2 linked regions of the Tribolium castaneum genome follow. The protein of the gene in region 1 interacts with the protein of each later gene in a biochemical or structural test. Links are inferred from orthologs where the notes say so. Each region holds a gene or a part of one and is shown on either strand. Other genes may lie near its edges.

Region 1 (5,886 bases):
CACGTTGACCCCAGCGCCCAGGAAGTGACTTTTAACCCCAAATACGAGGAGTTGTTCTCGCCCATGGTGGGCCCTGAGAACCCCTTCAAGACCCAGCAGCAACAATGCACCCGAAACATACTTTCGGGTTACGTTGAGCCAGCGTATGTGAACGAGTTCCAATTCGAAAACCAAAGACGGACGTTTAACAGTTTTGGTTACGCTCTGGACCCCACTGTGGGCAGTGCCGCTGAAGGCACCAAAGTTGTTACAACGACTGGCCAATGCGATGATATTGACCCGGAAGCAAAAACAGTGTTTGAATCAACCAAGCTGAGACCTTTAGATAAGAGAAAACGTAAAAAGAATAACGACCCGAGCGATATTGAGGGGTTTTTGGGGCCCTGGGGTGGTTTTGTGGACGAACAAAGGGTCATGAAGCCGTCTGATGAGGAGGCAGCAGAGTTGGACGAATTATTGTCGAAAAAGAACAAGAAGGGGAAACCCACAGAAGACAAACCAATCGAGGAAAAATCAATTTTGCACAGTAAGAGTGACTATTGGGTGAATTTTGCGAAAATTGCTGGTTTTGTTACAGTTTCAGACGCTGTGGATTATCAGGGAAGGAGTTTTCTACATGCACCTCAAGATGTTGGTGTCAATTTGAAATCGGACAGCCCCCCGGAGAAGTGTTTCCTTCCGAAAGCACATATTCATACGTGGTCGGGGCACTCGAAAGGAATTGCGGCCATTCGGTGGTTCCCCCGAACGGCTCATTTGTTACTGTCTGCTAGCATGGACTGCAGAATTAAGGTCTGTCTAGTGGCCTATGATTCTTAATTTGAATAAGATGGCAGCACCGAATAGTTTAATTTCAGTCACAGCCAACTTAATGTTGGTTTATGAAAAGTCACTATTAGCTTTTTCAAAACTATTAAAAAAAATAATCGTATTTTTTGTTGTAGTTGTGGGAAGTGTATAACGAAAGGAGATTAGTTCGCACCTACTACGGCCATAAGCAAGCCGTTAGGGACATTTGTTTCAATAATTCAGGAAAACTGTTTCTTTCGGCCGGTATGTTTATTTATTTTTTTGGTATATTAACAAAAAAAATGTGATTTAGGTTACGACAGGTATATTAAATTGTGGGATACTGAGACTGGTCAAGTGGTCAAGCGATTTTCAAGCCGCAAAATCCCCTATTGTATCAAATTCAACCCTGATAAGAACAAACAACACCTCTTCGTTGCTGGAACTTCTGATAAGAAAATCATTTGTGTATGTGTGCTTTTTTTTCAGTTTTTGTTTTTTTTTAATTATTTATTATAGTGGGACACCAGATCTGGCGATATTGTCCAAGAGTACGACCGCCATCTGGGAGCAGTTAACTCTATTACATTCGTTGACGACAATCGCCGATTCGTTACGACTTCGGACGATAAAAGTTTGAGGGTCTGGGAGTGGGACATCCCCGTTGATATGAAATACATCGCAGACCCGACCATGCACAGCATGCCTGCTGTGACGCCAGCACCCAATGGAAAATGGTTGGCTTGTCAAAGCATGGACAACAAAATTGTCATTTTCTCGGCATTAAATCGCTTCAAAATAAATCGAAAAAAGACGTTTACGGGACATATGGTGGCTGGGTATGCCTGCACACTTGATTTTTCACCAGATTTGAGGTTTGTTATTATTTTTTTAACAGTTGTAGGTTTTAACAATTTTTTTTGTAGTTATTTAGTGTCGGGTGACGCCGATGGTAAGTGCTACATCTGGGATTGGAAAACTACAAAGTTGTATAAGAAGTGGAAAGCGCACGATAATGTCTGTATCAGTGTGCTGTGGCATCCGCACGAGCCGAGCAAGTTAGTGACAGCAGGCTGGGATGGACTTATCAAATACTGGGATTAAGTTTCCAAGAAGGTGTAAATTTTAAGCGAAATAAAATATTTTAATTAGAAGATACGTCCTTTCGCTATGGTCACGTGATCGTTATAACCAATCAACGTAAGCGATTTCGGTCACCTGACTTATGTCTACGGTGAAACGTCACTCATTTTGCGTTTTTAAATGCCTACGTCTAATTTTGACAGCGAGATTTTAATTCCGCCGTTAAAGCATTTAAAAGATTAGAAAAAAATTAGATAAAAAATGATGTTTTTGCAATTGGAAAAAAATAAAGAATGATTATTAGTATTTTATTTAATAGTAATTAAATTTTCTAACATCAGCATTTGCTTTTTTTTCAAAAAATCTTTGTTCTCTAAATCGTCCTTTTAATTATTAATTTTTTTAATTAATTAATTTTTTCTCAAACTGTATTTTTTCGTCTTTGCAACAATCACACATTAAATTCACTTTCAAAAGACAATAAGTTGCTACTTTCGTTCGTTCCTATGTTGATTTCTAAATTTTCTAGATAATTTAAATGGAGAATTAAATACTTTAATGGGACTTTAATTTTTAAATATATATTTAAAATGATGAAACGGGGTGTTCAGTATTATAACTAATTAAGTCCGTTAGACGAGTTTTGAGTTACACAGGTCCGGACTTTGCTGGTATTTTGCAAATTTGTTTTATGGTGGAGTGGCATAGTTTTTTGGTAATGACTAAAAGACAACGTAGATTGTGAAATAACGTAATTAGAGTATGATTTTACAGCATACGTTTCTATTTTCTATATTTTTCTCAAAATTGACACAACTTTTGGTCATTTACTTCAGATTTTTTGCTGTTGAATGACTGTTAGATGCTGATTTCAAGAGAATCAACGATTTTTTCTATCATTAGTTCTCTGGTCCTCCCTAGTTTGTGAATGAATCCAAGTATAAACAACTCTCGCTTTAGTAAACCACTTTTTCCAATCCGTGCCAAAATTTGAATATCATCCAAAGGCCATAAATCTCCCCCACCCGCCCCTCAAAATCCATAAAATTCCTGCTTTCGCGCATGCGCCCCTACTACCCATCCCGCAAACATCCTCCCGCTTTGTTTACGTATGCTGTCAAGCGCGTCCATTTCCTAGTGCCGTTTGCGTGCCCCCATGGACGACCCCGGCAGAATGATGGGCCACACCGGCGGCGGCCTGATGCCCCCTCAGCCGTACATGAACGCCCAGGACGCGCCCGCGGGCGGCGAGAACGAGCCCCGCAAGCAGGACATCGGTGAGATCCTCCAGCAGATCATGAACATCACCGACCAGAGCCTCGACGAGGCCCAAGCGCGCAAACACACCCTCAACTGCCACCGCATGAAGCCGGCCCTGTTCTCCGTGCTGTGCGAAATCAAGGAGAAGACGGTGCTCAGCCTGCGGAACACGCAGGAGGAGGAGCCCCCCGACCCCCAGCTGATGCGGCTCGACAACATGCTGATCGCCGAGGGGGTGGCGGGCCCCGAGAAGGGCGGCGGCGCGGGGGCCGCCGCCTCGGGCTCCGCCGCCGCCCAGGCCGGCCAGCCCGACAACGCCATCGAGCACAGCGACTACAGGGCCAAACTCGCCCAAATCCGCCAAATCTACCACCAAGAACTGGAAAAGTACGAACAGGCGTGCAATGAGTTCACCACACACGTTATGAACTTGCTGCGGGAGCAGTCCCGGACTCGCCCAATCACCCCGAAGGAAATCGAGCGGATGGTGCAAATCATACACAAGAAATTCTCCTCGATTCAGATGCAGCTGAAACAGTCGACTTGCGAGGCTGTTATGATCCTCAGATCGCGGTTTTTGGACGCCAGAAGGAAACGCCGGAATTTCAGCAAGCAGGCGTCGGAAATTCTAAACGAGTATTTTTACTCGCATTTGTCTAATCCCTACCCCAGTGAGGAGGCGAAGGAAGAGTTGGCTAGGAAATGCGGGATCACAGTGAGCCAGGTGTCGAACTGGTTCGGGAACAAACGAATCAGGTACAAGAAGAACATCGGGAAGGCGCAGGAAGAGGCCAATTTGTACGCGGCGAAGAAGGCGGCAGGGGCGTCGCCCTACAGCGGCACCCCGACCCCCATGATGTCCCCAGCGCCCCCGCAGGACTCCATGGGCTACTCCATGGGGTCGGCCTACGACCAGAGCTCAGCCTATGACGCCAGTAGCTGTGGTTACGACCCAATGCACGCACAGGAACTGTCGCCCTAATCAAACCCTAGCTTAATTTTAAGGAAATACAGTTGTATACTAACCCATGTATACCGAATTTTGTATCGTGTACAGTGTGTTTCTGGGTTCAATTGCTTCAAGTTTTACTTTTCTGATAGTATAGGACGTACTTGCAATATATTTTTAGGTTGATTGTTTTAGGAGTTAAGGCGAGTTTTTCTTCAGTATTTTTTGTATATTTACTTATTTTTATCGATAAGGAGCAGCTGGGTGAGAGAACTTTGCTTTAACGCCGAGGTTTTTCCATCGAAAATGAAATTACAGTGCTTACTATTTAAATAAATAACTGTAGTAACACGTGGATCATTTTTTCAACATACATGAAATAATCACAGAAAATCCTACATGGAAATAAAGGGCGTAGAGAGACTCACGTGAATAAAAGCCCCATAAAAATTAACTCACTAAAAAAAAACAATCACTGTCATTGTGGATAGATTTATAAAATAATTACTCAGATGTCAATAAAAGTTTTAGATTTTTTAGACGAAGCGTCGTTAATTTAATTCGCAATTAAATGCGTGATTAACTGGACACGTGACCAAATTAAAGAAATGTGATTGGTGATTTAAGAGGTATGCAGAAATAACTTTCTAGGATAAAATTTAGTTCCTCTGTAAACCGAGATTCTAGGGGTGCAATTTCAGTTGGGACACCCTGTATAGAGACCAGAGGGGGAACGTAATACCCACTTATTACATAAATCACAACTTATCGTGAGCTTTTTTCTTTTTGGTATATGGGTATTTTTATCTGTGTGGGCTTTAAATTTTTCTGCTCAGACCCCACAATTAAATTTGCCGCTGTGACACTTCCAGTTATACCAACACTACACCGAGTTGGGCCCGTCGATATACGCTTATTTTGGCTTAAATTTTATTATTTTTGCTTTGATAACCACTTTGCGTGTTTAGCGAAACAATCATTGTGGAAATTCGCCCGAAAACGGTCAATTTTGGGTCAATTCCGCGTCTGGTGTGTGTCGTGTGGGTGTCAGCCCTGCCAAAACAAAAACCGATCAAATGTCAAATTCCTGACGTCCACACTTATTTACTCACATTTCCACCTCAAATCGTCTCTCATTTCGCATAATGTGTTTAAAAGTGTCATTTTCCCTCCTGGATTAACTCACAGTCGTGGTGCACGCCCCGCTCGTCGATGATGTAGTGGCAGGTTGCAAGGAGGCGTAATAAGATATTGTGTTGTCTCGAGTGGCCCCACACTATGGAGGATAGTTTGAGCGTGAAATCAAATGAGTCGGTGGCAACGAGCGAAGAGTTTGATTTCGTTGGGGACAAGCCTGCGAACAAGACGCCCACGTTGGATATTAAGGGGGATCTAAGCGAGTTGAAGAGTGCCTTGACGGAGGTGCTGCAGGAGTCGGGGAGGAATATGGACGAGGTGGACGGCAAGGAGAAGAAGATCGGGCATTCGACGTTTTATGGGTGTTTGGTGGAGCCGGGGAAGGACCCGCTGTCAAGGACGGGGGAGGACAGTCCCGGGGAAAAACAGGACTCGGTCAAGCAGGACTCCAATGAGGAGGAGGAAGGTGAGGAAGCTGCGAAAAAGTTACGTTTGTTGCCTTATACGACCGTGAAATTGTTGATAAGAGAAGTGTATCTAAAATTATTCATTCTTTGTTGTGGTGGTGATGTCATGACGTGTTTATTTACAAATGCAAATTGAAGTAATTGTTTTTGCTTGAATGAAAAAATAATGCCACTTGTTCCGCGAAGCGGGATTTATTGAAA
Region 2 (6,957 bases), on another chromosome or scaffold:
TAACTGCGCTTTTGCCACTTAGTTCCGCTACTGGCTGCTAGAGTGCGTCCGCTCGAAGCTCTCCGGATTTTAACCGGACGACCTTCATTCCGGATTTTTCTTGCAGGTAGAGCTGCAGCATCCAACCGAGGCAAAAACTATCTCGTTAGCTTTACAATGGTATAATTAACTTAAGATGAAAATTGCAATGGTGCACTTCCAGAGCGTTTAGGGGGAAATTAGCCTGATGGAAAGCGGAATGATGGCGCTGGGACGAGATGGGTTATTATCTGATAAGAGACGAGGATTACACGGATAAAAGTAATTGCTCAAGAGCCGCCAATCATTTTTCTAATCTGGGATCGAGTAAATAACACCTTTAACACCTAATTCTGTCTTCTAATCAAAATTCGTGCGTTTAGAATCTGTTTTACATAATAATTATAATAATTAGGGCACGGTTTGATAATCTCAGGCAAAATTAGGATTTGTTGCGAGATCACTCACACAAATAAATGGGTCCAACTTTGACCATATAATAAACTATTCTTATGGCTGTAATAACTCATCATTATCTTGGTTAAGGAAGGACAACAAACATAGGATAAGCCTCCGAAAGAACGTTAGTTATGGGTCCAGCTTCTCGAACGAAGTTTTATCAAAATACTAGTCATTTAATTAATTAATCGGTTTTCAAATTTTTCACCTAACGCATCAATTCTGAAGTGTGAACTGTCTAAGGACTTTAACGATTTGCGGTGGTAATAAATTTTTCGCTAGGTAAATAGACTTTGTCAGTGAAAGACGTCGTGGCCGCCATTTTGCACACAATGACAAAGCTTGAAAGCTCCGTTTTCTCTATTAAAAAGTCTTGGCATTTGAAATAAATATTTCAGCGGCACGTGTGCGTTGAAATAAATTTCGTTTTTGAAAACCATCCACATAACTGTTTATGTAATGGCTCCATTATTATTCACAAGGTTTATAGTTGATTAAGTTAGCAATGTAATTCTGTGGGACGTGTTTTACATCAATATTTTATCTATTTTATCTGTATACTTGCGTAAACAAAACATGTTTCTCCTTACCTATATCTTGGCGAATAATCGTAATAATTCCGGAAGCCGTCCGCTGATCGTTTATTTGAAGAATCTGTGTTGTATAGTCACTTAAAAATAAATAAATCTCGGAATGAGAACCATGCCGAAACATAAAATTAATTATAATTGTTTATGGCGTTCTAATGTTATGTAGATTGGTTTTATTGCAACATAAAATTAGTACTTAAGCAGGAAAAAGTATCAAATTATAAAATTATCACTCAGGAATGACTTATCTTTGGTATAAAACACGTAGAACAAACCTACCGGCTATTATAGTAGCTATTATGTGCTCGTAAAAATACAATAAACTTTCGTTCGGCCAAATTCATCCTTATGTCGAGAAGTGTTTGGAAAGTGTCAAGTTCGGCACTTTCAATATGCAAGGAGGTAAGACAGCAATAAAAGTTGATTTTATTACGATTTGAGTGATCGTAAATGTCACCTACGACCATGGCAAAATTATGACACCGCCACTCCATAAAGTGCCAGGAGCGTGCCAATGCCGTAAAATTTTTACTACTGGTTTGTGTAAACTGTAATAATCTGGCCTTTTTCCGTCCCCGCCCTCGGAACCTCAACCATTCAGTAACGACAAGAGGATAAGAGCAAAAGGGATTTATTTAAACACCCGGACGGGCTTTTTCCTATTTTGTTATTGACGACTCATTGTAGTATATACTACCTATTATCAGGATAACATTAAATTATTATTGGTTGTTAATAATTTTACTGTTTACTGAATAGAAATTTATTACATTATTATTTGTTTTTATTTGTTTGAAGAAAATATTTATACATACCTAGATCCTAGATCTACTATTGTTGGGAGATTTTTGTAGTTAGAATAATTCCAGTAGAGACACTTCTATAATTTTTTTGAACTAATTAATCCGTTTGGAATGGGGTACGAGTATTTTTCGATGAGATTTGATTTGGATTAGGTATGTGCACGAAGAAAAAACGGTCCAAAATAATTTAGTTTTATTAGTTTGAATGTTTTTCGGGCAGTAAAATTTACAAAAGCACATTCATTCAAATGCAATTTAAGTTTATTGTATTTTGGGAACACAGAAAAGTAGGTACATTAAGGTAGTATATTAAAACCCTTACTCGAAAATGAGCAACAATTAACTTTAGCTTTGGTTTTTATACCGACATGGTACAGTGTAAGATGAAGTCAAAAAAGCGAGAATGTTTTAATAGGTACCTGAAGCAGTAACAAAGGGCTGAATGCATACCGCTCTTTATACAGCCTAAAAACATTTAAAAAAATGGAGTGTTTCTTTGATTTTAACTTGTTTAGCGGTTGGAGTCTGATTTGTTGCCTAAAAAATCAAGTGCGATGAAAAGTTACAGAACAAGATCTTATCTACCCGTCGTCAATAAATCTTACTGTTTTAGTTGAATATTAATATAAAATTACGTACTGTTTTTAGAAATTGTGAATTTAATTGTTTTAACAAACCAAATAGACATTAAAATTGTGATGCAGAATGCAAAAAAATAATAAATAAAATAAGCTTTCCTTTTTGTACTTTAACGGTGAATATATTGAGGGTTTGGCAGCGGAATCAGAGTATTTTAAATGTAGCGTTTACTTTTCGATGATTTTGTTTATATTGGTGGTGTGATGGTCGTTTTATCTTTTATTGGCAATTGATGTTGCTCGTTTCGGCAAGAGTGTCGTTTTGAAAGGTTGAGCAATTGTCCGAGAGCTGGCGCCACGCGCCTCCCCTCTTCGTCTCGTTGGGGGCCACTTGCGCAATGCTTGAAGGCTGTGACGAATTCAATTGCTATTGGTTCATGTATGATCCCTTCCATTAGAGCGTCTTCGTGTAGAAGCACGTGCTCTAGGGGTTATTACGGCCTTCGCGACCCTTCTGGAGGAAACCTAGCCTTTGGAGAAGCCGGTCAGGCGCTAATTAGGTGCGACCGTGTCCGATCGGCCGACAATACAGGTAGCTGCAATAATGAGCCGCGTGCTCGTCCGGAGTGGGGGGAGAGGGGAGCGATGGGCCGGGATGTGTGGGCCGGAGCAGACTCCGGAGCTCCAGTGGGTTCCCATCCGCGAGCAAAGTAGCCAACGTGTGCATTCCGGAGCGAGCTGCTGTGTGGTGTGCTCGTGCGAGCTCTTATCACCTTATCACTCTCGCTAATAACAATAATAATAATCGTGTGACTGTCATGTCCGGTTCCGGTGTCGAGTGACTTGTGCCGCCCCCAGCATGAACTCTTACTTCGAGCAGAGCGGCTTCTACGGCAGCCACCACCACCAGAGCGGGTCGGTGGCGGGCCACCACCACGAGCAGTCGGCGGCGGCGGCGGCGGCCTACCGCTCCTTCCCGCTGTCGCTCGGCATGTCCCCGTACGCCTCCAGCCAGCACCACCACCACCACCTGCAGGCGCGGCCCCCGCAGGACTCGCCGTACGACGCCTCGGTGGCGGCCGCCTGCAAGCTCTACTCCTCCGAGGGCCAGCAGAACTCCAACTACTCCTCCAACTCGAAGCCGGACTGCTCCAAAGGCAACGCCGACCAGAACGGATACGCCTCGGTGGTGGCGGCGGCCGCGGTCAAGGACGTTTGGCAAAGTGCGACTTCTGGCGGTGGCGCTAATCTCACGAACAGTTTGACGGGGCCGGTCAGGCCGGCGGCATGCACGCCGGACTCCAGGGTTGGCTACGGGTCGGTCGGGCTCGTCGGCGGAGATCCGGCCTCGAGTCCGGGGGCGGCCGCAGGACGGACGGGCAACTCGCTCTCGTGGAATAACCCCTGCAGTATCAACTCGACCTCTTCGCAGCCCGTTGGCACGCAGATACACCAGCAGACCAACCACACGTTTTACCCCTGGATGGCCATTGCAGGTTGGTGATAGGTCTAAGCCTACGGACTCCTGCTGCGGACGCTATTTGCAGGAAACGCGCTAACTCCGGCCGAATCGCACGCCGTTCAAACGTGCACCACACTGTAACATTTCAAAAGCACAAACCAAAAATGTTTCATTCATTGCTGTGACACTAAAAAAATGTCATTTCAAAATACCAAACGTGAAAATAATAGTCGTTTCTAAACACATAGTGCGAATCAAAAGTCAAGAATAAATTTTTTTGGCGGGAGATTTTTTTAAAAATTTCGAGCAAACTGTTTGTTTCCGGGTTTTTATTGTACCTACTTTTTGGACCACCACGGTTCAAGTTACGATTTTATTAACTAGTTATATTTAAAGACAGTATGTTTAGTTACGACTTTTTTTATTTATATCTCCATTAAAAAAATAATAGTTAATAATAATTAATTAAGAAACGAACTTTTTACATAATAAATGTTCTAAATAGTTTTGCCGAAAAACAGATTTTTAGTAAGTTTGTAAACGATTTTTTAACTGAATATCTTTCTAGTCGTCCGGAAAATGATTTATATTAATGATTAAATAAATTATTTATCTGTATCTATTTTTCCTAAATTTCTGGTGGGTATTCTTTGATTCAAAAATAAATTTCTTGGCACAATATGACGAACCGTTTTATTTTATTATTTGTGATTCATCTTCGTCGTCTGCTTCCTCTATTTTCTAAAATTAAAATTTTATATAATTTCAGTCGATAGTAAAGTACGTTAAATTAGTAATTTATTTGGGAATGTTAAAGTTGCCGACGTACAACACCATAAATTTTGTTTATTTTTTCAATGATTTGTCATTCATAATTTGTGCCTTATTTATTGCCGCTGGAACTACTTAATTATCTATTGCAAAATAAAATAAATTTGAATAAACAAAATTTTTTGTGCTAATTGTTGCCCTTTGGCCCGTGCGCGCGATGTCCGCACCTCAAAGTTATGTAAATGTTGAACCTGCAGCGAAGTCAAGTGCGTGTAAAATCAGGGTTGAATTGCCACATCTCTGTCCCTCAGTCGAATTTCTCTGTTCTCGTCCTCGTCGAACAAATCGGGTCCTTGTCAGAGCACGAGGGACGATCAGCTGTTCGCCTATTTGGCCGTCTAGACGCCTTTGAAATGAGCACGTCCTATATTCCCGTAAAAAAATCGTCCGCTTTGACCAAAATAATCCGTGTTTTGAGTTCGGCGTTCGTAATTCTCAAGTCTTGGGTCAATGGAATATAATTTGGTTAAGGTCGTTTCATATTTCGGGAGGACATCGCTAACGAGCCGACAAAAAATTTCGTTCGGTCGTTATTGCGAGACGCTCTATTCATACGCTGGAGAGTAATGAGTTGATGGCGAACTCTAATGTTCAAAGGTATATCTTTTCGAAATTACTACAACGTCGCTGAAGAATTATTGATTGAAGAAGCGGCTGTGGTTTTCACGGGCCGCCGATTGCTTAAATTGTTTTTATTTATAGTTTGATTTATTAGCGCTATTGCCGCCAACGCACGATCTACTACACTTATGTTATCGCGCTATACAGGGAGGACGATTAAAAGCGTGTTCGGAGATGATTCCGACGGATTTTATTTATTAGAGAAACTCGTATGTCAAAGTTCAATCTTCTATAACAACATCATAAATTCGCAAAATTTGCATAAAGCTACAACGTTCTTTTATTTTATTTCATTTTATTAACATAACAGGACGGAAATGGGAAAAGTACCAAAATTTTTCAAATTTTTCCTGACTAAAAAAAATTGGCAACTGTAACATGATCCCATAGTGTTGGGCACGTCACTCAGATGGCGCCCTCATCCACTTTCATAATTTAACCAGAGGGGTCCGTCAGGTACAAGGGGCCGACCCTCGCCTGTTCAAAAAGTGCCATTCAATATGAGCGCTTCCTTATTTTTCGTATAAGACTTTGAGAGCGTTCCACTCTGTATATTTCCTCATTCACATGATAATTCCTTCGTCTACCGCGCCGGAGTCCCGGACTTGTCCCGAATTGTGCCGGACTCAGTCCGGATGAGCGATGACGTATTACCGTGGCCCAGTCAGTTACACCCCCTTTTGTATTTTGCTCGCTACGGACCGCACCAAAAACATTTGCTTGTTTCTTCCACCAAGGTATTAGCGTAGGTCAGGTGTCTCATTCGGGGATGTTTCACTGTTTCTCGTTCGACTGTGACGAAATCGGCACCGATCTGAAACTGATAAACGGCCAAGTGAGAATGATTCATAGGTGGACGAAAATGCACCCGACGGGGGTTGCTTTCGGACGAACGCGCCTTCTTGCCTCCACATGAAACCGCATCGATTTTTGCCGTTTCCGGAAACGGCAGTCAAAAAGGGCTAATTTTAAAGCGTCGTCTTAGTGGGTGTTTGAGGAAAATTAGATTGTTATGCATGAAGTGTTTGTATTTATGGTTGCCATTTCTCTATTTTTAGTTTATTGATCATTATATTTATATGGATATATATTGATATAAATAAACGCTGATTTATGGAAAGTTGTTATTCATTTTTAGCAAAAATGAAACTAAAATTGCATATTGCGTGTGGTTACTACATAAATTTCGTATGTTAATACGAAACTGTATATCGCTTTAGGAGACAAGTTGAAAGTATGTCTTCTTAGACATTGTGATTCATTTTTAATTAATGGACGCAGCTTATTTGTTTTTCTCATTAATTATTATTAGAAACGTAGAAGAAGTTGGTAGCTGGCAATTTTTGCTTTGAAAACTCTAAAACAATTCATTAAATCGTGTAAAAAATGTAAATTTTATTTTAACTAAACCAAGCTTACACCTACTACTGGAATTATAGTCCAGAAACAACTGGCAGTAGTTGATATAAAAGTGTACAGTCACCCGAAATGAAAAAGACGCGTCCATAAAAAACACGCCTACCGTACATTTTTTAATCAGATTTGATCAAAAAACGCTAAGATCCAGAAAATAAATCTAAATTGGTGGCATTTTG

Evidence for each region.
Region 2: the proteins of exd (region 1) and Ubx are reported together in a solved structure, tested with the Drosophila melanogaster proteins (2 studies listed by BioGRID). The link is inferred for Tribolium castaneum from reciprocal best matches to the Drosophila melanogaster genes exd and Ubx.

What each region holds. Positions count from the first base shown.
Region 1 is NC_087400.1:5,270,249-5,276,134, reverse strand, and holds exd (extradenticle), read left to right. Parts: upstream 1-3,024; 5' UTR 3,025-3,028; coding exon 3,029-4,114; 3' UTR 4,115-4,432; downstream 4,433-5,886. Other genes in the region: pre-mRNA-processing factor 17, read left to right, coding at 1-526, 578-792, 945-1,053, 1,103-1,257, 1,309-1,664, 1,716-1,893; GAPcenA (rab GTPase-activating protein 1-like), read left to right, coding at 5,360-5,684. UniProt on the Drosophila melanogaster protein: Transcription factor which acts with the selector homeodomain proteins altering the regulation of downstream target genes such as wingless (wg), teashirt (tsh) and decapentaplegic (dpp), thus affecting segmental identity.
Region 2 is NC_087397.1:7,100,037-7,106,993, reverse strand, and holds the start of Ubx (ultrabithorax), read left to right. Parts: upstream 1-3,307; coding exon 3,308-3,944; intron 3,945-6,957. UniProt on the Drosophila melanogaster protein: Sequence-specific transcription factor which is part of a developmental regulatory system that provides cells with specific positional identities on the anterior-posterior axis. Binds the consensus region 5'-TTAAT[GT][GA]-3'.